3 linked regions of the Elephas maximus indicus genome follow. The protein of the gene in region 2 binds, or shares a complex with, the protein of the main gene of each other region. Links are inferred from orthologs where the notes say so. Each region holds a gene or a part of one and is shown on either strand. Other genes may lie near its edges.

Region 1 (7,828 bases), on a different chromosome or scaffold from region 2:
CCTGGGACCTGAGCACCCTGACCACGTAGTCTATGCTGACCCCTCCTGTTGCCCCCCTTCCCCCCAATCCTGGTCACACTCTGAACCCTGATCCTGGTCACAGAGTCCTGACCCTGACCCCATGCTGAGCCGAGCCTGACCCTGATTTCACACAGAGCCCTGACCCTGATTTCACACTGAGCCCTGACCCTGGTCCCACACAGCCCTGACCCTGGTACCGCGCTGAGCCCTGACCCTGGTCCCGCACTGAGCCCTGATCCTGGTCCCACACTGAGCTCTGAGCAACTGGGTTAGCAAGGTCTCTGGTACAGGCAGAAGTGTCTGGTTGCTCCCAGGATGGTCCTCTGAAGGGTGGGAGGCTGGGGTATATTCATAGACTCCTTTCCTCCACTTGTGAAGCCTGTCCTGGGGATGGTAACTCCTCTGCCCTTTGGGGTTCTTATGCAGAAAGCAGAGAGAGGTGGGAGAATGTGGGGAGAAGGGGGGAGGCACTGTCCACACAAGCAGGGTCTGAGCTCACTTGAATGGGCCACTGCAGCTGCAGCCGAAATTGGAGGTCTGAGGGACGTTAAGCAGCCACCAGGGGCGTCCAGCCCCATGGTTACTGTCTGCATTCTATACGCAAACTCTTGTACCCAGATTTTTTTTTTCTTCTCTGAATGTACTAGTTTCCTAGCTAAGAACCACACACAAGGAGGATTAAAACAACAGAAATTTATCCTCTCGCAGTTCTGAGGCCAGAAGTCCACAGTCGGGGTGCCAGCTGGATTGGCTCCTCCTGGAGGTTCTGAGGGAGGATCTGTTCCAGGCCTCACTCCCAGCTTCTGGTGGCTGTCGGTGATCCTTGGCGTTACTTGGCTTGTAGCCACATCGCTCCAATCTCTGCTCTGTCTTCACATGGCCTTCTCTCTCTGTCTCTCATTGTCTCTCTTCTTATAAAGACCCCAGTCACTGGATTATGGCCTCCCTGATCTAATATGGGAGCCCTGGTGGCATAGTGCTTAATAACTTGGCTGCTAACCAAAAGGTCGGCAGTTGGAATCCACCAGCCACTCCTTGGAAACCCTACGGGGCAGTTCTACTCTGTCCTCTAGGGTCACTATGAGCTGGAATCAACTCGACGGCAACTGGTTTTTTTTTTTTTTTTATTAACTTTTATTGAGCTTCAAGTGAACATTTACAAATCAAGTCAGACTGTCACATACAAGTTTATATACACCTTACTCCGTACTCCCACTTGCTCTCCCCCTAATGAGTCAGCCCTTTCAGTCTCTCCTTTCGTGACAATTTTGCCAGCTTCCAACTCTCTCTATCCTCCCATCCCCACTCCAGACAGGAGATGCCAACACAGTCTCAAGTGTCCACCTGATACAAATAGCTCACTCTTCATCAGCATCTCTCTCCTACCCACTGTCCAATCCCTTTCATGTCTGATAAGTTGTCTTCGGGAATGGTTCCTGTCCTGGGCCAACAGAAGGTTTGGGGACCACGACCGCCGGGATTCCTCTAGTATGAGGCAACTGGTTTTTTAAAATCTAGTATGACCTCATCTCAACCTGATTACATCTGCAAAGACCCTATTTTCAAATAAGGTCACATTCCCAGATTCTGGGTGGACATGGATTTCAGGGGACACTAGTCAACCCAGTGGGGGCCTGGTGACGCAGTGGTTAGGAGCTCGGCTGCAAACAAAAAGGTCGGCCGTTTGAATTCACCAGCTGCTCCTTGAAAACCCTGTGGGGCAGTTCTACCCTATTCTATAGGGTCGCTATGAGCTGGAATTGGCAGTAGGTTTGGGTTTTTTTTGGTAGTCAACCCAGTACATTGACTTTACATTAACCGATAAGCTATTCTTTTCTTTTGCCTGTTCTTGACCTTCAGGACTGGAGGAGAATTCTGGAAGGAGAGTCCTAAGGAGGGTTTCCTGAGTGTTGGCTCTGTGCCAGCAGGACTAACCAGGCCCTTGACAGGCACCATCTGACCGGGCCCTTGACAGGCACTGTCTCCTTCTATGTTCTCAACAGCCCTAGGAGGTAGGCACCTGACTCTGACTCCATTTACATGTGAAGGAGCTGAGGCAACGAGGAGTTAAAGCAGGTGGCCCACTGACAGGGGTCCACCCCTGTGCTGGGGGCTGGCCCCTCCTCTGGGGGCCCTGCCGGGTCTGGGGTCAGGGTCTGGGGCCAGCCTTCTCAGCTGGCCACCACATTCTGGGAATCCACTTAGCACTGACCTTGTCTTTGTCCTCCTTGGCACTAATCTGCTAATCCTGCGGTCCAGCTCTAATCCTTTACCTGGGCCTCCTCCAGCGCCCCCAGCTTGGGCCTCCTCTCCGCCACGCTTTCAGTGCTGGGGGGGAGGTCCGCTGACTGGGGGGTAGTTGGGGAAGGGACCCTTTCTGTGGAATCTTCCTCAGTCCCAGGGAGGATTCTGGAGTCTGGAATCAGCAGACAAGGGCTGGATTCCACTCCACCTCTTCGTCGATCAGCTATCACCCCATTCCCCCTCCCATTTCTCCTCTGTAGCGCGAGGAGATCACGGCCAAGCCGGCCCTCCCCAAGGTGAAATCACCGTTCTTCTCCACCCTCCTTGCCCCACCTGTTCCATTCGCAGAGCTGCGGGCTCAGGCTCACCAGACCTGGGTTCGAATCCTGCCCTGCAGAATGGGGCTAGCTGTCCTTTCTCAGCTGGGGGCGGGGTGGGCTCCCAAGGGCAGTGGGGGGACGCCCCAGCATGTGGTCAGCACACAGTCAGTGTCTGAGGAGTGGATTGATCCAGAAGCAGCTATTGACTCCTCCTTCGCTCCCCACACCTGCGGGACACCTGGAACACAGAGCTGGAAGATAGCCCAGCCTTGTGCAGCCCATGGGGAAGGACAGAACACTGCCCCACGGCACAGGGCATTGGGATACAGGTCGCCCTGAGATTTTGTGGGACAGCATGATATGTATGTCTGGGTTGGGGGGGGGATGCTTAGGTGCTGCAGCCGAGTTTAAGCTAAACATTAAAAAAAATAATTAGAGTGGACCCAAAGTCCCACAATAAAGTGGGCTGCCTTAGAGGTGCTGAGCTCACCAACAGTGGGGGCATTTAAGTGGAGGATTTTTCTTTCCTAGGACTCCACATGTGCCTGGACTAACAGCACAGGCTTCCTATCCACCTCTGCTTGGACATGCACAGACAGGCCTGGCTGGCTTTGTGGCTCAGTGTGGGAGCCCTGGAGCCAGCTCTACTCCCGACTTGCTGTGTGGCCTTTGGAAGTTGCCTAGCGCCTCTGTGCCTCCTCTGACACAGCCCAGCTCTGCAAAGCCCTGCCCGCTGCCGCCAGCTGCCTTGTTGGGAGGAAGCATGGAGCTCCTGGGCACCACCCACCTGCAGCCACCCATCTGTGTGCCAGAAGCTGGTCCTGGCACTATGGGCACAGCTGGGATAAGCCAGGTGAGGTCCCTGTCAGTCAAAGGTCAGTGGTGTGTGTAACTGCCCAGCAGATGGGCTGAGAGGGGGGCTGCCAGCAGCGGCTGAGCTCTCAGGGGAGGCCGTGATTGACAGCAATGTGATGGAGGGATGGCACTGGGGGGACAGTCTGGGCAAGAGTTTCCAGGCAAAGGAAACAGCCCATGCAAAGGCCCTCAGGTGGGAACGATCCCAAGAATTTGGAGGAATGTGAAGGTGAGCGAGGCTGCGGCAGCAAGCTGGGGAGGGGGTGGTGGTGGAGGGAGGGGTGTGGAGCACCCGCCAGGCCAGGCAGCCTTGGGGACCAGCGAGGGCTCTGGCCTCACCTGGCGAGGTGGCCCTGCAGGACTTTATGCAGAAGAGGGTGCATTCCACTCTTGCCTTCGAGGGGTCAGTGCAGCAGCTGAGGGTGGATGGGTGGAGGGGCATGCTCCCTAGGGGAGTGGAGACAGGGCCTGGGCAGGCTGCCAGCCTGAGGGGAGGGGCAGGCCATTTGGTTGGGCAGGATGAGACTCCCCAGGGACCCAACAGGCCCACCTCTCTGCCCCTGTCCTGGGCCCCTGCACGTGCCACCAGCCTTTCTTCTCTAACCCGAGCCATGAGCCTCCCCGGGAAGGCTGGTCCAGAAGGTACCCCCCGGCACAGCAGGCAGCTGGTGGCTGAAACCCCTCCTCCTGGGCACCCCGTGTCACAGAGGAGTGGAGGCTGCTGAGGCTCGGAGGTGGACCCCGCTACACCGGCCTCCCTGCCCACCAGGATCTGTGTCTCAGTTACAGGGACAGCTGTCATTTCGGAATCCCATTGGGTGCGGGTCTGGTGGGTCCGCTCTGGACACACGGGTGCTCAGGCAGCCCCGCCCTGTATACCCGCTCAACGGAGGGGACTGGGGCTTGAACCAATCGGCCAGGAGAGTGCTACCCGGGCCCATCCCCGCGACAAGCCCTCCCGGAGGGGCGGGGGCCCAGCTCCCCTGGGGGAGATGGGGAAACTGAGGACCCCAGAAGTCTCGTGGGCGCCTGGCCTCCGGACTCCGCCCTCAACCCTTTCGCGCGCCCGCCTTCCTCATCCTCACTCGGGGTTCCCGCCGGCCCCGGGCCCCACGCCTCGACCGGCCTGCCAGGGCCACGGCCACGGCCACGGCCACGGTCAGACCCTGCGTCAGCCCCCAGCAGCCGGTCCCCGTCTGCTCCCACCGGACGCGCGCACGACCGCAAAGGTGGAGAGCGTTCCCATTGGGCCGCGCCCCCCACGTGACCTGGCGGTGCGGTGCGCCCAGAGCCGGGGCCGCGCCTTTGCGCGCTCGCGCGGCTCAGTCGTGGGCGCACGGGGCCGTGTGCGCGCGTCCCGAGCCCTCGCCCGCTGCGCCGGCGCCGCCGCCCGGACCAGGTCAGTGTCCCCGCGCCGCTCGGGGCGGGGCCGGCGCTTTGTGCGGCGCGCGGGGCCGTCGGCGCGCGGGCCGGCTCTGGGCACGGCCTCGGGGCCGCGCAGGCGGGAGGGCCGCCGCCTCCGTCAGTCCTTCGGTCCGCCGGTCCCTCCCTCCTGGCCGGCTCACCCTGGCGCTGGAGGCCCTGCGCCCGGAGCACGGCTGTCGGCTGTCACGTGCAGGGCTGAGCCGGGAAGGCGGCCCAGGGGCGCCCTGGCCCGCGGGGAGACCCCGCTCTGTACCCTGAGTTTATCTTCTCTAACGCCCGTGTGAGTCGGAATCGACTCGACGGCAGTGGGTTTTTTTTGGTTTCAACGCCCGTCCAGGGTCTGGCTAGTTCTGCCCCCGGCTCAGTTCCATCTCTGCACTTTGTGGGGAGACCTGGCACCAGCACGCCTGCCAGTCAGAACCCGCAAGGCTTCCCTGCCGGGCAGGAAGTGAATGTCTGAGGCAGCCCAGTTCCAGGTCCCACGGACCGAGGTTCCAGACCTGGCTCAGACCTGCACACGTGCTGGGCATTCAGGCAAAGCCTTGCCTCTTCATGCAGTACCCTGGCTGCAGAACCAGGTCCAAGGCTTTGTCCCAGGGGCCCCAGGGATTAGACAGGTGACTCCCAACACACAACTGGCAGGGTTGGGGTTAGGGTGGCATCCCCCTGGCCTGTCCTCTCCTGAGCCCAACATGTGACCCTGCAGGCCCGCAGCCTGGCTGTTGAGTGAGCCTGCTTGGCAGCTCTGTGATGTGGGGTCTAAGGGCTGGTACAGGGTCCAGCCATTGTGGTGTGCTGGGTGTCCTGAGCCCTGGCACACAGATGCACACCACCCCTCCTTCCCTGGCCTGTGGACTCTGGGTCAGCTCTGCACATGATGGCAGTGCTGGGTGTTGGTGTGGTGTGCAGACTCCGGGTACGCCCTGCTTCTAGGCTGGAGACGGCCGCCAAGACAGCCCTCAGTGAGCTGTTAGGGGGCCAGCTGGCAGTTGGGGGTCAGAGGCACACAGAGCACCTGTGATCTGGCCCAAACTGAGACCACCTGGCAGCTCTGTGTAGATGCTATGCTTTACTCCACTAGCAGCAGGTTTGATGGGAGGCCTCAGGACAGGTGTTCCGGCCATGTGGGAATTCCCAGGCTGCTCCCTCAAATAGACCCTTGGGGAGCTGGCTACCCCCGATGCTTGCCAAGCATTCACTCTGGTGCTGGACTTGAAGGTGGGCGATGGGGCCCACCCCTCCGGAGCTCACCTGCTAGTGGGGTGGGGCAGGCAGGGGTAGGACAGGCCATGGACAGTGTGCCGGGAGAAAGTGCAGGTGGGGGGGGGCAGGCAGGGGTGGGACAGGCTGTGGACAGTGTGCTGGGAGACGGTGCAGGCAGGGATGAGCTGTGCCCTTCAGCCTGGTTCCTCACTTGCTGACCCCTCCTCACACACGCCCTCCTCCAGGATACCTCCCCTGGCTGTGGGGACGTGGCTGGGGGCCTCAGCTGGTCCCTATGTCTCCTCAGTGCCAGCTCAGGGCCTGGCTATGGGTAGCTGCCCATGCAAGTCAGCAGCAGGGGCTTGTGGGTGGAGGAGAGCTGGATTGGTGGCCTCTCAGCAAGAGGGCGATGGAACCTGGAGTCACCAAGCCTGGGTGGGCTTGAAAGTGAGGTCAGGGCACTGGGCAGGGGCTTGCTGGTAAATGTTGAATGGAACCCTGGCTTGTGGTTTTGCCGCTCTCCGTGGTGTGAGTACTCCCACGCTGCCTTTGCTGCCCCTGGAGCTGGGACGAGATGCGCATGTGGACCCCGTCACCTCCCCCCCCCCCCACTGGGATGGCAGCGGAGTGGTGGGCAGTGTGTCGGTGAGTGTACTGACTTCCTTGGGGCCTTCTGTGCAGTTGGGGACTCCGTCTCACTAGGCAGCAGGCCCTGGCAAAAGGGCCTGTTAAGTGGAAAGGCCACTTAAGTGGGGTCCATGTGGCATTTTGCCAGAGGAGCAAAGAGGGAGCTGCCGGGTCTGGAGGCGGCAGAGACCTGCGGTTACTCCCCTGTCTTGGTCACTTAGTGCTGCTGTGACAGGAATACCACAAGTGGATGGCTTCAACAAAGAGAAATTTATTCTCTTTGGAGGCTAGAAGTCTGAATTCAGGGCGTCAGCTCCAGGAGGTTTTCTCCCTCTGTCAGCTCTGGGGGAAGGTCCTTGTCACCAATCTTCCCCCAGTCTAGGAGCTACTCAGCACAGGGACCCCAGGTCCAAAGGATGCACTCCCCTCCTGCTTCTTCGTTCTTGGTGGTGTGAGGTCCCCTCTTTCTACTCGCCTTTCTCTTTTATATCTCAAAAGAGGTTGACTCAAGATCAAACCTAACCTTGTAGATTGAGTCCTGCCTCGTTAACATGACTGCCTCTAATTCTGCCTCATTAACATCTCGGAGGTAGGATTTAAAACACAAAGGAAAATCACATCAGATCACAAAGTGGTGTACTATCACACAATACTGAGAATCATGGCTTAGCCAATTTGACACACATTTTGGGGGGGATACAATTCAATCCATAACAGCCCCCAAGACCTGGGCCTTGCCTTGGTTACCCGAAGGCCTGAAGCCAAACCACAGGCCTCCACCAGGTGATGCACCGTGGTTTCTCACCTCTGCCACATGCTGTGCGCTGGGCCTGGCCGGGCCACCTCCTACAGGAAGCCTTCCCAGCTGCCGGGTGCATGTTGCTTCCTGCCAGGCCCTGCACCGGTGGGCCCTCCCCACCTCCACGCCACTGCCCTCACTGTCACCTGCCTGCTCTGGTCCCCAGCACCCCTCTGTCCACAGATGCAGCAGGGCGAGGCCAGGCTGGAGCACAGGCTTGCTGTCATGAGGGCCCGGCTCTGCGTCTTTCCGGTCACTTCACGTCTCGCCTGCTCAGTGTTTGCCCCTGTAAACTGGCAGCTGTGGTATGTCCACCTGGCAGGCTGGGTGTGAG
Region 2 (7,656 bases):
CTGTGTTTCTGAGCGCGCTCAGCACAGGTGAGCAATGCAAAACTGGGCGTTCGCACAGGTGAGCAAACACATGGCCTGAACTCTGTGTGTGTGTGAAGCAAAAGGAGTAGTACACACACGTCTACAGCTACCTCTTTGCACACACAGTTCCTACCAACGGATGGTCCTTCCCTCCCCCTCCTGCCCGTGTAGAATCAGTTCTTACAGAGGGTCATAATTATTTCCAAATATTACTAGTCTGGTGACTTCCTCCTCCCAGTGGTTTTTCACTTTTTATTCCACCTCCAGTTCCTGGGCTGAGCCGTACCCTGGAACTGGCCCACCCCCCCCATGTCTTCCCAGGGAAGGGGGACCTTTGCAAATGGCATCCACGTGGGTAGGCAGGTCACAGCCACCGTAGCAAATAACTCATATTTATTTTGCGTAAGATTTTAATTTGTATATTTTTGTGATTTTTTTTTTTGGCAGTTATGAGTTTGACTCTCGGGGAGTTTTGTTGTTGAGTCTTGTGTCTTTTGTCACAAAACAATGATAATATTTGGTAAACAATATATGGAATTTATTTTTGATTGGTAATAAAAAACAAAATATGTATAAATCTTGGCAAGTCTACAGTTTGCCTGTTTGAGCTCTGTCTGTGTTCAGTATCTGTAATAGAGACAGAAGTGGCCGTGGTTGAGAGGTGGCTTCTTAACATAGGTACATGTAGCAGGACAAGGAACAAGTATCCTGGGACCATCTCACAGTAAAACGTTGGCAAGCAAAAATGGAATTTATAAAAAAATAGGTGTAATCCACAGAATGAGGGCTTACCCCTCTCTGACCTAAACTGAAGGGCACACTTGTTCTGTGTCCAGGCTGTGGCTTTACCCCAGCACCTGGTATGCACGCTGGGTGCTTTTGCTGTGAGACACGGTCATCTCTCAGAAAGTGATCCCCAGCTGGGCAGGGCTCCATGTTTCGATGTGCTTGGATTCTACACTATAAAGCCATCCTGAAAGTATTATGCTACTAAGCAAACAACGTGGAGGGTGTATATATATATATATATATATATATGGAGCCCTGGTGGTGTAGTGGTAAAGAGCTTGGCTACTAACCAAAAGGTTGGCAGTTCAAATCGCTGCTCCTCGGAAACCCAGCGGAGCAGCTGTACTCTTGTCCTATAGGTTCCCTCTGAGTTGGAATCGACAGCAGCAGATTTGGTTTTGTTCGGGTAAACCCCTACTGTATACCAGGTGCCACCAACTCCTTGGTGAGTTTACCACATAGTGAGGAAGACAGTCACACAAGGGCCTTTCAGCTTGCTGTTTCTTCCACCTGGAACACTTTCCCCCAGGTCTTTGTGAGGCTCATCTCCTTACTTCCCTTAAACCTTTGTTCAGATATCACCTCCTTTTAGAGGGCCTCCCAGATTACCCTGCCTAAACCAGCATCGCCCCAATCTGTCTCCGTAGCTTGCCTTGCTTTTTTCCATAGCACTTATTACTAGATATTAAAGGACAGATTTGTGTATTTTCTGCTGCCCGCACACTAGAATCTGAGTTCCACAAGGGCAGGGACTTTATATTCCCACCTTTAGAACAGTACCTGATACAGTGCAGTCACTTAGGAATGAATCAATCAATAGGTCTTAAGGTAAGTACTAGGGATGGGGAGCACATAGCACCCATAACTTCGACCCAACCTAGTCAAGATGAAGAAAGACCATCTGAAGGAAGTGGATTTGAGCTAAGACTTGAGAAGAGCAAGAGTTAGCCAGTGAAGTCGCACATAATAGGTATGGGTTTAAAACTCAAGAATAAATATTTAGGTAAAACTTGGAAATGTCCTGATCCAAACGGCCAGTAAGAAAAATGGCCCAGGAAGGGCCAATGAGGGCACTGGAGGTCAAGTCGCAAATGTCTCCACTGTGACTAACCAGGCGTGGGGCGAATGGCACAGAGCCAAGGGAGAGGCTGGTGAAGTACTGAGGCCTCTATTATAAACAGAAAACCACCCTGCGAACAGCATTGCTTGCACTGTACTAGATTCTTTGTCTTTGCATAGTGACAGCGTAAATGGCTGTTTGTGTTTTCCAAGTTTGATCCCGTTGTTCTGGTCAAAGGTTTTCCCCCAAAACAGGCTGTTTTTCAAGGGACCCTGAGGCCAAGGAAACAGTAACTTGTCAAAGGTCAGAGCCCCCTCTCCAAATTCAGAGAGTTTTCTCTGTCTGCCCTCTAGAACTGTTCCTTCATTAATGACTTTTCAATCATGTGACTCATTTGAGGTTCCACTTTTGTGTCATTTTATCTTGACTTGGAGATTGGAAAGTATGAGCTGAAGGGGTTGAATCCATTATAATGGACTCCCCCCCCCTTAAAAGGAACGGTGACAATCCAGTGGGAAACGTCAGCAGTGTCATCATTACTTCTGCCGGCAGGGGCTTCTCCTGTCACCTGCAGGAGTGAAGCAAACTGCTCAGCGCGGCTTATCGCCCTCTGGAGAAGACTAGCTGAAGAATGCGGAGATGCGGCTGGCCTGGTCCTGGCTCTGAGCCCACGATGCAGAAGAGACATTACTACCAGCTTTTAAAAAGCTTTTCACAAAATATTTTTTTCCTGTGGTCAGTCAAAGTTACACCACAGGCCTATTTTTGCACGTTATCGTTGGTTGCCATGGAGTTGGTCCTTACTCATGGCAACTCCGCGCAGCGGAGTAGGACTGCGCCAGAGGGTTTTCAAGGCCGTGGCCTCTCAGAAGGAGACTGCCAGACCTGTCTTCTGAGGCATCTCTGGGTAGGTTCAAACCACTAACCTTTTGGCTCGTTGTTGTTAGGTGCCATCAAGTCGATCCTGACTCATAGCGACCCTGTGTACCACAGACTGAAACACTGCCTGGTCCTGCGCCATCCTCATCCTCATAATTGCCGCTATATCCGAGCCCACTGTTGCCCTCACGATCATTGTTATGCTTCGGCCTGTTGTTGCAGCCACTGTGTCAATCCGTCTCATTGAGGGCCTTCCTCTTTTTTGCTGATCCTCAACTTTACCAAGCGTGATGTCCTTTACCAGGGAGACAAAGTGTGACCATCCTTGCTTCTAAGGAGCCTTCTGGCCGTACTTCTTCCAAGACAGATCTGTTCGTTCTTCTGGCAGTCCATGGTATATTCAATATTCTTCACCAACGCCACAATTCAAAGGCTTCAATTCTCCAGTCTCTGGCTAGTAGTCAAGCACTTTACCGTTTGTACCACCCGAGGACTTTTTTGTTTTGGCACATTACCTTCTACAAAAACACCTTTTACATGATTGTGGCCACAGTGCTTTTAAAATATCCTGTTATTTTTATGATACTGCAAATGCGTTTCTATAGGATGCTTTTGAAAGATCATTTTAAACAACATGTATGTCCTGGTAAATGACATGTAATCTTCTCAAAGGCTACTTACACTAGGAAACACAAAAGTGCATAAAAGTATCAAGAAAAACACAAAAGTCCTTTATTGTGGACCCTTGGAGAGAAGCCTTGTTGGCAGTTCTATTTCCTCCCAGTCGTGTACAGACCATTTATAACGAGTAAGGAACGCTCTACACTGTCAGTGGACCATACTGTCACGAAGTGACCACAGTGAGGGCCCTCTTGAATAGATCTTGGTCGCGAGGAATCATTTCCCAAGGACGAGTTGCTAGAAGTGGAGTTAGCAGACCCCACATCCACGCCGAGTCTTTGTGAGCTTCGCTTTTCTCCTGTAAAATGTTAGCAGTATGAAGCAGCTGTGAGGATCCAGTGACTTGTGTCTGCAAACTAACACAAGCTCCCTGAAGGCAGGGACTAGGTCTGACCTCCCCAGACCTACAGCAGAGTCGCGGCAGCGGACAAACACGCCCAGAACCTGAACGTCCCCTTGCCCAGTCACTACCGGGGGCGCTGTGGTGAAGAGCTCGGCTGCTAACCCCAAGTCGGTAGTTGGAATCCACCAGCCGCTCCTTGGGAACCCCGTGGGGCGGTCCCACTCTGCCCTACAGGATCCCCGAGTCGCTCAGTGGGTTGAGTAACTCCGGGTTGGTGGCTGCTTCCCAGGAGACCTGCACGTCCCCGGTGTTTAAGTCTCTGCCCGCAGCTTCATGTGGGGTCCGACCCAGAGGCCGCCCGCGCCGCCCCGCGAGGCCCGAGCCGGGGCTGCCCAGAGCGCGAGCCTCCGGGAGACGGCCACGGCGACGGCCGGCGGGGACGCAGCGCCCCCACCAGGCGGCCCCGAGGACGCGGACGTTCGACGCCCCGCGCGGCCCTGCCCGCTGCCCCCGCCTCGCGCGGCCCTGCCCGCTCCCCACGTCCCGCGCGGCCCTGCCCGCTGTCCCCGCCTCGCGCGGCCCTGCCCGCTGCCCACGTTCCGAGCCCCGCGCGGCCCTGCCCGCTGCCCCCGCCTCGCGCGGCCCTGCCCGCTGCCCACGTCCCGCGCGGCCCTGCCCGCAACCCCGCCGCCCAGGCCCGGCGCCCGCACCTTGTTTACTCGCCGGCGCAGCCTAGTCCGACCGGGGCCCGCCCCCGCTCGCCGCCCATTGGTGGAGGCGGCGCGGCGGCAGGCGGCGATTGGCCCGGGCGGCGGCGGCGCGGGGCGAGCGGGATAGGCTGCGCGAGAGCGGGCGGCGGGCGATGGCGGCGGCGGCGGCGGCGGCGGGTGGGCTCGGCTGGCTCTTGGCCGCGCTCTGCCTGGGCAGCGCCGCCGGGGAGGCCACGCCGGGCCCGCAGGTGCTGCGCTTCTGCCTGGAGGAGGACGCGGCCGAGGGCGCGGGGCGGACGCGAGCGGGGGCGGCGGGGGCCGCGCCCGAGGCCACCTTCCGCCTGCGCCTCTTCGGCCCGGGCTTCGCCAACGGCTCCTGGTCCTGGGTGGCCCCCGAGGCGGCCGGCTGCGGCCGGCCGGGCGCGGCGTCCGAGCGCGGCGTCCGGGCGGGCGAGTGGCGCGCGCTGCTGCGCCTGCGCGCCGAGTCCGTGCGCCCGCACTCGTCGCTGCTGGCCGTGCGCGTGGAGCCGGGCGGCGCGGCGGCCGAGGAGGCGGTGCCGCCCTGGGCGCTGGGGCTGGGGGCGGCCGCGCTGCTGGCGCTGGCGGCGCTGGCGCGGGGCCTGCAGCTGAGCGCGCTGGCGCTGGCGCCGGCCGAGGTGCAGGTGCTGCGCGAGAGCGGCTCGGAGGCGGAGCGCGCGGCGGCGCGGCGGCTGGAGCCCGCGCGGCGCTGGGCCGGCTGCGTCCTGGGCGCGCTGCTGCTGCTGGCCAGCCTGGCGCAGGCGGCGCTGGCGGTGCTGCTGTACCGCGCGGCCGGCCAGCGCGCGGTGCCCGCCGTGCTGGGGAGCGCGGGGCTCGTGTTCCTGGTGGGCGAGGTGGTGCCGGCCGCCGTGAGCGGGCGCTGGGCGCTGGCGCTGGCGCCGCGCGCGCTGGGCCTCAGCCGCCTGGCGGTGCTGCTCACGCTGCCGGTGGCGCTGCCGGTGGGCCAGCTGCTGGAGCTGGCGGCGCGGCCCGGGCGGCTGCGCGAGCGCGTCCTGGAGCTGGCGCGCGGCGGCGGCGACCCCTACAGCGACCTCAGCAAGGGCGTGCTGCGCTGCCGGACGGTGGAGGACGTGCTCACGCCGCTCGAGGACTGCTTCATGCTGGACGCCAGCGCCGTGCTGGACTTCGGAGTCCTGGCCAGCATCATGCAGAGCGGCCACACGCGCATCCCGGTGTACGAGGAGGAGCGCTCCAACATCGTGGACATGCTCTACCTCAAGGACTTGGCCTTCGTGGACCCCGAAGACTGCACGCCGCTCAGCACCATCACCCGGTTCTACAACCACCCACTCCACTTCGTGTTCAACGACACCAAGCTGGACGCCGTCCTGGAGGAGTTCAAGCGAGGTAACTGCTGGAGAATCGCGAGGGGACGCGAGTGCCTTCCCCTGGAAGAGGTGCAGGAGCTTTATGGAACCCTCCAGGAAAGGGTCCCACTCCTGCGGAGGGCAGTGAGACCTCCGAGGGCCCTTTTAAAGAAGGTGATGAACGACCTTTGGGGCGGGGGTATGTCCCCTTGGTGTAAGTCTCCAGCTCCTTCCCCGTCCCAGGCCTTTTCTCTGAGCTTTGGACTTTGTGGCAGGTCCAAACCCTTGAATAGAAACTTAAAGAACATAGTTTCCAGAGACCTAGATGCCGTTATCTGCACTCAGGTAATATCAAGTTAGCGTGACCTGTGGTGTTTCCAGGACATTGTTAGGTCGTTGATTGGCTCCTGCCTCCCAGATTCCAGAAAAGGGAATAACCTATAAATACTTTCTTACAAGTGTGAAAGAAGTTTTTCTTTTGATTTCACCAAAAGCAACTAAACGGGTGATGATTTAATTTTCTCTCCCCATCTACACCCCCCCCCCCCCGTTTTCTAACCTCCCCTTTTGTAATTCTGGGAGCCCTGGTTGCCCAGTGGTTAAAAACTCAGCTGTTAACCAAAAGGTTGGCAGTTCAAATCCACCAGGCACCCCTTGGAAGCCCTATGGGACAGTTCTACTCTGTCCAATAGGGTTGCTATGAGTCAGAATCAACTCATGGCAACGGTTTTTTCTGACTTGGAGTAAAGTCTCTCAAGTTCTCCTTTAATTCCACATCCTCGTCTCTTTCTTTTCACTCTGATTTATCTGAGCACCTCTTAAGGTTGAAGGTCAAAGCTGTAAGCCCCTCTGGTGTGAGTGTGTGGGCTCCTCTGTTGTCCTCCCAGTGTTGGGCTTGGGGTGCTCCCCAGAGCTTGGCACTCTCCTTGGCCACCAGACGTGCTTCTCACGCCTCAGCTCCCGCAGGATGGTGGTGGGGGCACCCCAAGACTCTAGTTGGGCTTGGCCCTGAAGGCTACTTAATGTCAGGCGGAGGAGCCCGCTGAGCCCTGTGATGTTTCTGGCAGCTGTGAAGTCTTGCCCCAGGCTGGCAGGGGAGCTGTTCTCTGAGCACCTTGACGGCCAGGTCAGGAAAGCAAGTCTTTGCAGTGATGACGTTGCCGCTGCATTGAACGCCGCTGTACGCGGCACTAATGGAGGCTCCGTCGTCGCTTTTAATCCTTGGAAGAGCTGGGTGTCGAGTAGTTGGGCAGTTACTGTTATTACTGCCGTGGAGACAGGTGGGCAGCTCTGATTGGTCTGCTGAAGAGAACCCCTCAGATGCTCCTGGCTGTTTCCCCAGGAAGTGGCCATGCAGCACTTCTGTGGGGCAGGGGAGCCCGGAGTAAGGGCCTCTTGGTGGTGAGTAACCTGTCTGGGCCACCATGGTCCCCCAGGCACCGGTGGTTCCTGTGGCGTGGTGGCCACCAGAGCTGGGCCTGGAGTCAGAGTTGGGTGGGCTCCGTCCTGCCCCTGCTGCCTCCCAGCTTGAGACCCTGGGAAGGCTGCTCATGGTCCAGGGCCTCATCTGTTAACGGTACCCAAACCAAAACCAAACCCACTGCTGTCGAGTCGATTCTGACTCATAGCGACCCGGGAGGACAGAGTAGAACTGCCCCATAGGATTTCCAAGGCTGTGGTCCTAACGGAAACATACTATCACATCTTTCTCCCACAGAGCGGCTGGTGGGTTCGAACTGCCAGCCTTTTGGTTAGCGGCTGAGCACTCAACCAGTGTGACACCAGGGCTCTTTTGCTAATGATAAGAGCTGGGAAAAGAATGCAACT
Region 3 (7,962 bases), on a different chromosome or scaffold from region 2:
CCTTTGCTACAGTTAATCCTTCTGTCTAGAGTGTTCTTCCCTCAGATATCTACTTGGCTCACACCCCTAGGTCTTGCATAAAATGTCACCTTTTTTTTTTTCTTTCCAGTGAGGCCTTTCCTGATCACCTGTTTAAAATTGGAATCTCCCTCCTTTCTGGCACTGTTGATTCTCCTACTTTGCGTTTTTCTCCATAGCAGTGGCATATTTTATTTATTTGTTCCCACCGAAATGAGATAAGAATTGTTTTTTTTGTTTACTGCTCTTGCTGCACCTATAAGAATGCATGACATGTAGTATATATCCAGTAAATATTTGTTGAATTAGTAAATTCTTAACTAGCCAGATAGCGTAGAACATGTCTAGTTCTTCATGAAGATAAGTTCTTTACAGTTGATAGATAATTCATACTTATTTTAAGGGGAAGCGCCTGTTTCTTCACTGAAGTGAATTTGTTTTAGGAAAAAATGGTTGCAAAGTTTTAGTTTTATATACAATATGCTTTTATGTTGCCTGATTGTAGAAACCAAGCTGACTCAAATTTGCAAGACTTCCTGTAGAATTTCTGGTAAGAAAGCAACACAGTAAATGTATGCTTACTTGCTCTTTAGACTTTACTTTTAGATTTTACTTCCTTAGATTTAGAATTCTTTCACTGTGTGTTTATACTATAATGTGACTTTAATTTGAAAATATAAAGAGGGGATTTCTCAGTGGACGACTGAATGGGGCAGATTGATAGGATGTTTAAAAGGATGCCCAGTAAGATTGGGTTCCATTAAATGGAGCTACGTTATGTAGAAAGTTCCCTCACACCCTTGAATTCTCTGTTTTTATATTTGAACTTAGAATTATAGTAGCCAATGCAGGATGTAAATTTTACTCAGTTATTTCGTAGGCATAACAAAGAAAACAACTATCTTTCTGGAATGGTTTAGATATGGGCCTGCCTAGGGCAGAGGTACTAGCCCTCTTGAGGCTCTTTCTAATCCCATGATTATAGCACTGTTGAGAAAGTAGTTAAGTTACACAGGCAAGTCTCCTGGTTACAAACGAGATCTGTTCCTAAGTGTGTCTTCAAGTTGCATTTGTAGATAAGTCAGAACAGGTGCATATGGTTCTTATTTAGCCTCCTTTTAGTGCAAGAAAGGCTAGAAGCCTTTTCAGTGATCTAAAAGCTCCACTTGCAGCAAGTGAAGGTGATCATGATGAAAAATTTGTTGTGAGCAGGTTTGGTTCAGTCCTTTCAAAGTGAGGGCAAATTTATATAACATTAAAGGGCATGCATTAAGTGTAAGTCAGATGTTTGTAACCCGAGGACTTACTGTAAATCATTGCAGGGTTCTTTATCATCCTTTTTCATAAAAATTAAAAGTAAGATAATATGTGTACTTGGAAAAAAATGAAAAAGATTCGAAAGGTAAGCTAAATCATGCTCCTGACCTCTAGCCCTCCAGCTCAGCACCCCACCACTGCTATTAGTCTTTGTAATCTTCCAGATAGTCCATGTTTTTGAAAAATATATACAGTACTCACAAATATTTCTATAAAACTATTCGAATTGTTCTGCGCCTTGCTGTTTTTGCTTATTGGTGCCTTTAGTCATGTTTCCATATCAGTTCATATAGATCTGTTTTATTATTTTTAACCTCTGTGTATTTTCCACTTTAAGAATATTCTATAATAAAATAAATGATGGCTATTGTTTCATGCATTTTGACTTTTATGTAGGTAGATGTTAGCAGTAGAATATTAACACTGGACTTGCAACTGTTTCTAACATGCTGTTAGGTGCTGCCTAGTCGATGCCGGCTCAGTGACCATAAAGGACAGGGTAGAACTGGCCATAGGGTTTCCTAGCCTGTAATCTTTATGGGAGCAGATCACCAGGTCTTCTTTCCTGCAGAGCTTGCTGGTGGGTTAGAACCACTGACCTTTCAGTTAGCAGCCAAGTGCTTAACCATTGCACCACCAGGGCTCCTTGTTTCTAACACAGCCCTCTGCAAAGTTTTAAGTAGTCTCTGTTGTGTCATTGACTTAGTTTTACTGGCAGTGCACTATCTCAGTTTCATAGGCTGCTCAGTTGCTTTTCTTCCAGCTCTCCCTTTCTTCCTTCCCTCTATCCTGTCCCTTCCTTTTAATTTAAAAGGATTTGTCTGTCACAGACCATCCTTTCTAATCAGCGAAGTTATATTCTTTAGTTAAAAATCATTGGCTCGGAAATGGAAATATCCCCAATTCAACATTTTTAAAGTTAGATTCTGTAAAAGATAAAAAAGGTGGAGAGTACATTTGGATGCATATTTGAATTTGACTGCTGTTAGATGTTAAGTAAACTAGCCTCTTCTATCACCTAGTATATTAAAACAAAATTTTATTTTTACTTAAGTAGGTAGAGCAGAGTTAATACCAGACAGAAAACTTCAGAAGAATTTCCTCTAGGTGTACAGGTGCTGAGCTTACACTAAAACGTAGGGCTCTGCAACTTTTGAGTGCCTTCCAGCTGTGGTTGGTTGTTTATGACTTTTTACAGTCTGTTTGCTTTGCGTTCTTATGAGTGCCAAGGGAGTTAACATTAGTTTATCTGAATTGACAGGTGCATAGAATTTAACTGTTGATGCATAGTTGAACCCTTGGTGGGGGGGCGGGGAAGGGAACAGAAGCTTGCTTTTATTGTGTATCTGTTAGCATTGATAGAACATACTGTTTCCTTTGGCACAAATTTCTGGGGATCTCAGTATGGTGTTAAGAATTGAAAATGTGATAGTGAATTACCATCCCTGGAAGTAGTCTTCCAAAGTGAGTTCGGAGGAATAAAATGGGATAAACCTTGGCTCTGTTTGCTGAGTAGACAAACATTGGAGACTAGGTAGAAAACTTAATGCTAGAGCCATAACCTTTTAAGCCTGGCGATTACTACAATGCGGCTCTGTCAGTGCATTTCCTCAGCTGACATGTATTAGCTCTGATAACACCATTGAACCAAAGGGATTCAACCAGGTTAGAATTTCCTTGTGTTTTGCTCTGCACTGCATGCAGACCCTTGTTCTTTGAGTAGTTACTTTTATAATCTTCCCCCATTATAAGGTCACAGAGTTGCAGATGAACATGCAAAGAAATATTTGAAGAAAAGTTACACTTGCATGAAAAAGATTGGGTATCCTGGTACCTCCGTTAGTCTAAATTGAAGGAGAAATGAATAGGAAGTCAGGAGACCTGAGTTCTTGATCTGCTACTTAATTAGCAGTGTGATCTTAAGTAAGTCGTTTTAACCTCTCTGAACCCCGAATATCTTCATTTTTTTAAGAAAAAGAGGGTCAGAGTAATGGAGCTCTAATTTTCTCCTAGCTCTTAATAAAATTCCTTGACTGTGCAAGGAGTACACTATGAAATATTTTTCTTGCATAATCTAGGTGGCTTTGTTTGGGGTTACAGTTATCAGTTAAGAATGGTGGTGTGTATACTTTTGTTTTCTTAGTTTGAGTATAGTGTTTTTATAGTACTGGATAACACATTCTGCGGAGATTAATGGAAGTTCTCGGAATGCCATTTTGAATTGCTTGTGTATCTTTCATATTTTAGGAATGTTTTAGTTTTATATTTGTATCCATAGTAATATAATCACAAGTATGTGACTTATGAAATAAAATACCATAAGAATACCATAAAAAGAAGAATTGCAGGTATAAGAATAAGCTTGAAAGTTTGGAGGCCTAGGTTCTTTCTTATCGATCTCTATCTCAGTTTCTTCCTGAAAATGGTTCTGTAGTCATTCTTTTTCACGCCTTTTTCTATCTGACCACCTTCCTCTTTTTTAGAGACTTAAATAAGCATGTATTGGTGGCTCGGTGAAGAGGCAAGTGAAAGAACTAGACCTTGTCCAGGTTTTCAGAGGAATTTATGATTATGTTGACACTCTGACTGAGACAGCTATAAAGATTACTATGTTTTAAAGCAGCAGGCCTAAAATAATATTAAAAATTTTGGCACTTGTCTTTTCTTGCCTCGTTTTTTGTAGGAATTAATATTTGGGGAAGAGGAAAGCTGTGTGAGTCAGTGACCTTTCGATGCTTTTGTATTCCTAAGGCAGTGATGTGAGAAATAGTAAAAACCTTAACTGAACAAAAAACAAAAAGGTGGGATTTATACAATAGTTGAGTCAGTAGGCATTATGGTACATTGGAAAGAACACTGGATTAACAGAAACTTGTGTTTTTTTTTTTGTGTGTGTGTTTGAATTTAGGTTCAACTAATCCATTGTGTGACCATAGACAAGTCATTTCACTTCTCTGACCCTCTTCCTCATTTCTCATGGGTAGTAACATCTACTCAGAATTGTAAGGAAACGTAGATAATATTTTGGAAGTACGTTGTGAACTCACATCATAATTGGGGGCCAGCGTATATACTTTGAATAGAAAGAATTTTCAATCCTTGGAGGAGAATTTTGGTAAATAGCCTTTACCTATTCATAGATACACCATATGTAAGTAAAGAGTGTTATGAGAAAGTTCTTACCATTAAAGCAGAAAAACAAGGAGATCGTTGGGCACTTTATGAATAGAGTCCATGGAAGGAAGGCTTCTTTAAGTTACTGGCCTTAATCATTTAAAAATGACTTGAATTAGAAATATCTTACCATCCCAGGAACTTTGTTGAGTCCAGTTTTGAAGAAAAAAAAAAAAAAACCAGACACACTTGATTTTCGAATCTCTGATTTTTGAAAACTCTTTACATAGTTCTTAGATGGCAGAATTTAGACTTGGTCATGTTTCAGACGTCTACACTTAGAACAAATGCGTTCTTTACTTCTGGCATTGTGTTTACTATGCTGTCAACCTCCAGTTCATTTTACTTATGCTTCCCTCCCCTCCCCCCAGGTTTTTCGTTGGAATATACGCTGCACATTTATGGCGATTCTGAGTGTGAGGGCAGACTTCTGCCAGGCTCAGCACAGCATTTTCGCTGACAAGTGAGCTTGGGGGTTCTATGTGCCATAATTAACCTTGCCTTGAAGACTCCGGACACCGAGACTGGCCTCAGAAATAGTTGGCCTTTTTTTTTTTTTTTTTTTGTTAATTGCAAGCATATTTCTTTTAATGACTCCAGTAAAATTAAGCTTCAAGTAAACAAAGGTGGAAAGCGACCTACACTTTTAACTTGTCTCACTAGTGCCTAAATGTAGTAAAGGCTGCTTAAGTTTTGTATGTAGTTGGATTTTTTTGGAGTCCGAAGGTATCCATCTACAGTCATTGTGGCCCAAGTTGAATTTGGATTCGAGTGGATTCTAAATACTTCTGCTTATCTGGAAGAGAGAAGCTTCTTAAGGAATAAACAAGTTGAATAGAGAAAACACTGATCGATAATAGGCATTCTAGTGGTCTTTTTGATGTTTTCTGCTGTGAAACATTTCAAGATTTATTGATTTTTTTTTTTCATTTCCCCCATCACACTCACACACACGCACGCTCACTTTTTATTTGCCATAATGAACCGTCCAGCCCCTGTGGAGATCTCCTATGAGAACATGCGTTTTCTGATAACTCACAACCCTACCAATGCTACCCTCAACAAGTTCACAGAGGTAAGATTGTAGCATGGTCTACCTTTTAAATTGATTTATTGGTTAAAATCTCATTAAAAATTAATGCCATTATAAAGAAATCTGGAGCCCTGGTGGCACAGTGGTTAGGAGCTTGGCTGCAGTTCGAATCTACCAGTCGCTCCTCAGGAACCACATGGGGCAGTTCTGATCTGTCCTGTAGGGTCACACTGAGTTGGAATCGACTCAACCACAACAGGTTTTATAAAGAAATCTCATATTACAAAGCCATTTACTTTGGTGATTGGCATGTGGATGGTTATATTAACAATCCTTGGTTGAACTGGGTTGAATTTGTAGCAGCGGATTTTTAAAAGAAGAGCATTTTTAGAATTTTGCAGAATTTTAGAGATTATTTATGAGTCAGAATCGACTCGACAGCAACGGGTTTTGTGGTTTTAGAGATTAGTACCATATTTTTTCTTGTATCCTTTCTACATTTGTCAGCAGTTCTTTTGTCATACTTTCAAATAATAAAAATAACATTTATTGAATACTTAGTATGTATCAGGTAGTATGTATTGTAATTAATTTTATGCATTGTATCATTTATTCTCACAATAACCCTATGAAATATAGGTACCATTATTCTCTCCCTCTTATAGATGACGAAACTGAACTTCAGAACAATTTAGTAATTTGCCTAAAGGTGCACAGTAAGTGAAAGAACAGGGATACTTAACTGGTCTCAGACGTTGAAGCCCGTGTCCTACCCCAGATATTCTAATTGCCTTGGTAAAGAGCCATCCCAAAACTATGTAGCAACAGTAATCATCATATATACGGCTGAGAAAACTTGAGGAATGAAAAGGTGTTAGGTAGCATTTTTTATTTGATTTCTTTTGCTTTATCTATGGAGTAAACTTAGAGGTGGGCTTCTAAGCCCATCCCTCTCATTTTACAGATGAAATGAAAGAGGTTTTGATTTGCTTAAGGTCATGAATACTTACCATGAAAAATTCTACCATAACCTTTCAATGAATAGTTACTATGGAGTTCATTTTAATGGAATTTTTAGTGGCATTTTGAAACCTGTTTTTAAAATTCCTGACTCAATATAATACTTAAACTTTCCTGAGTGTCTAGTATAAGGAGGCTTTTCTGTGAAAGGTCCTTTAGCAATTAAAATAACTTTACTGTTAGATAACTAAATGGTGGACACTTGCAGGGATATCACTGTTCCTGCTTATTTATACCTGTAATTCCTTAAGCTTCTTAACTTTGTGTACACAGTGTGCAAGTTGACTCCAGGCCTGTATGCCCTCAGGTTGTTCAGTCACCTTTAAGCCTGCCTGAATTATGGGATACTATTTTCAGCTTCTGGATTCCTTGGCTATAGACTCCAAAAGTGGCAGAGGCCACTGTCCTGCAACTATAAAAAGATGTTGGTGGCCCTGTAGAAAGGGTTTTAAGGGAGCAAGGCTTCTGGCTATAATTGTGTTAGCTAGCTTTTTAATATAATACCATTTTTTTCCTTTCAATTTCAAAACTACTTTTATTGTTTCTTTAAGAAATTATTAAGTGCTTATTACATAAAAATCAGAAGATACAGATTAGCAAAAAGACAATTTAAAAACACCTGACTCTTTATACCTGGCTTCCAGGTGTTTTTCTGTGCATATACGTGTGTATTTATAAGTAAGCGTATAAACAGGATCACACTGTATGTTAAAAAAAATCATCTCCCCAACCTCTCTAGGATTTTTTAAATAGCCATTATAGTATTCTGCTGTATGGATGTACCATAATTTACTTAATCATTCCCCTGATTTTGGACAATGTTGTTTTCACTTTTTTGCCATTCTAAACAGCTGTGGTGAATATGCTGGCACCTGAATTTTTATGTATATCTTTAATTATTTGATTAGTGTAAAGTCCCAGAATTGGAATTTCTAGAGCAAAGTATATATGCACTTTTAAAGTTTTGTGTTACACTCTCAGTTTGCCCTGTAGAAACGTGAGTCTTCTTCATAATCCCATGGACAGTGCATACATGTCTTTTGCTGAAATGAGAATTATTATTTTGATCTTTGTCTATTTAATAGGATAAGAATGATATCTTGTTTCAATTTATAATGGTAATTTCTGAAGCTCTGGTTGCAGATTCCAAAAGCAAGTCCCTTTGTTTTTCTTTATAAAGGAACTTAAGAAGTATGGAGTGACAACTTTGGTTCGAGTTTGTGATGCTACGTATGATAAAGCTCCAGTTGAAAAAGAAGGAATCCACGTTCTAGTGAGTGTGTAATGTTTTAATTTTTCACCTCAAACAAGTTGTACCTTTCAAACATAAAAGCGAATTTATTAATTTTGACTTTTAAGCTTATTATAATAGGAGATGGTGTTCATGGCAATCTTTTAAA

Evidence for each region. The genes of interacting proteins can lie anywhere in the genome.
Region 1: the proteins of CNNM3 (region 2) and PTP4A3 are in contact, whole or in part, in a crystal structure (PDB 5TSR), measured with the Homo sapiens proteins. The link is inferred for Elephas maximus indicus from reciprocal best matches to the Homo sapiens genes CNNM3 and PTP4A3. Residues at the interface, in NP_060093.3 of Homo sapiens: Ser357, Asn358, Phe394, Asp396, Lys418, Val419, Asn421, Glu424, Gly425, Asp426, Pro427, Phe428, Tyr429; in NP_001425170.1 of Homo sapiens: Asn5, Pro7, Asp72, Gly73, Ala74, Val105, Ala106, Leu108, Gly109, Arg110, Arg137, Arg138, Gly139, Ala140, Ile141, Asn142, Lys144, Gln145.
Region 3: the proteins of CNNM3 (region 2) and PTP4A2 are in contact, whole or in part, in a crystal structure (PDB 5K25), measured with the Homo sapiens proteins. The link is inferred for Elephas maximus indicus from reciprocal best matches to the Homo sapiens genes CNNM3 and PTP4A2. Residues at the interface, in NP_060093.3 of Homo sapiens: Leu390, His391, Phe392, Val393, Phe394, Asp396, Thr397, Glu405, Ala414, Gln417, Val419, Glu424, Gly425, Asp426, Pro427, Phe428, Tyr429; in NP_001356788.1 of Homo sapiens: Met1, Asn2, Arg3, Pro4, Asp69, Gly70, Cys101, Ala103, Leu105, Gly106, Arg107, Arg134, Arg135, Gly136, Ala137, Phe138, Asn139, Lys141, Gln142.

What each region holds. Positions count from the first base shown.
Region 1 is NC_064833.1:3,362,023-3,369,850, reverse strand, and holds the start of PTP4A3 (protein tyrosine phosphatase type IVA 3), read left to right. Parts: upstream 1-4,756; 5' UTR 4,757-4,839; intron 4,840-7,828. UniProt on the Homo sapiens protein: Protein tyrosine phosphatase which stimulates progression from G1 into S phase during mitosis. Enhances cell proliferation, cell motility and invasive activity, and promotes cancer metastasis.
Region 2 is NC_064835.1:88,301,950-88,309,605, reverse strand, and holds the start of CNNM3 (metal transporter CNNM3), read left to right. Parts: upstream 1-4,628; 5' UTR 4,629-4,635; coding exon 4,636-5,869; intron 5,870-7,656. UniProt on the Homo sapiens protein: Probable metal transporter.
Region 3 is NC_064821.1:72,868,108-72,876,069, reverse strand, and holds the start of PTP4A2 (protein tyrosine phosphatase type IVA 2), read left to right. Parts: upstream 1-4,890; 5' UTR 4,891-5,488; coding exon 5,489-5,584; intron 5,585-7,742; coding exon 7,743-7,835; intron 7,836-7,962.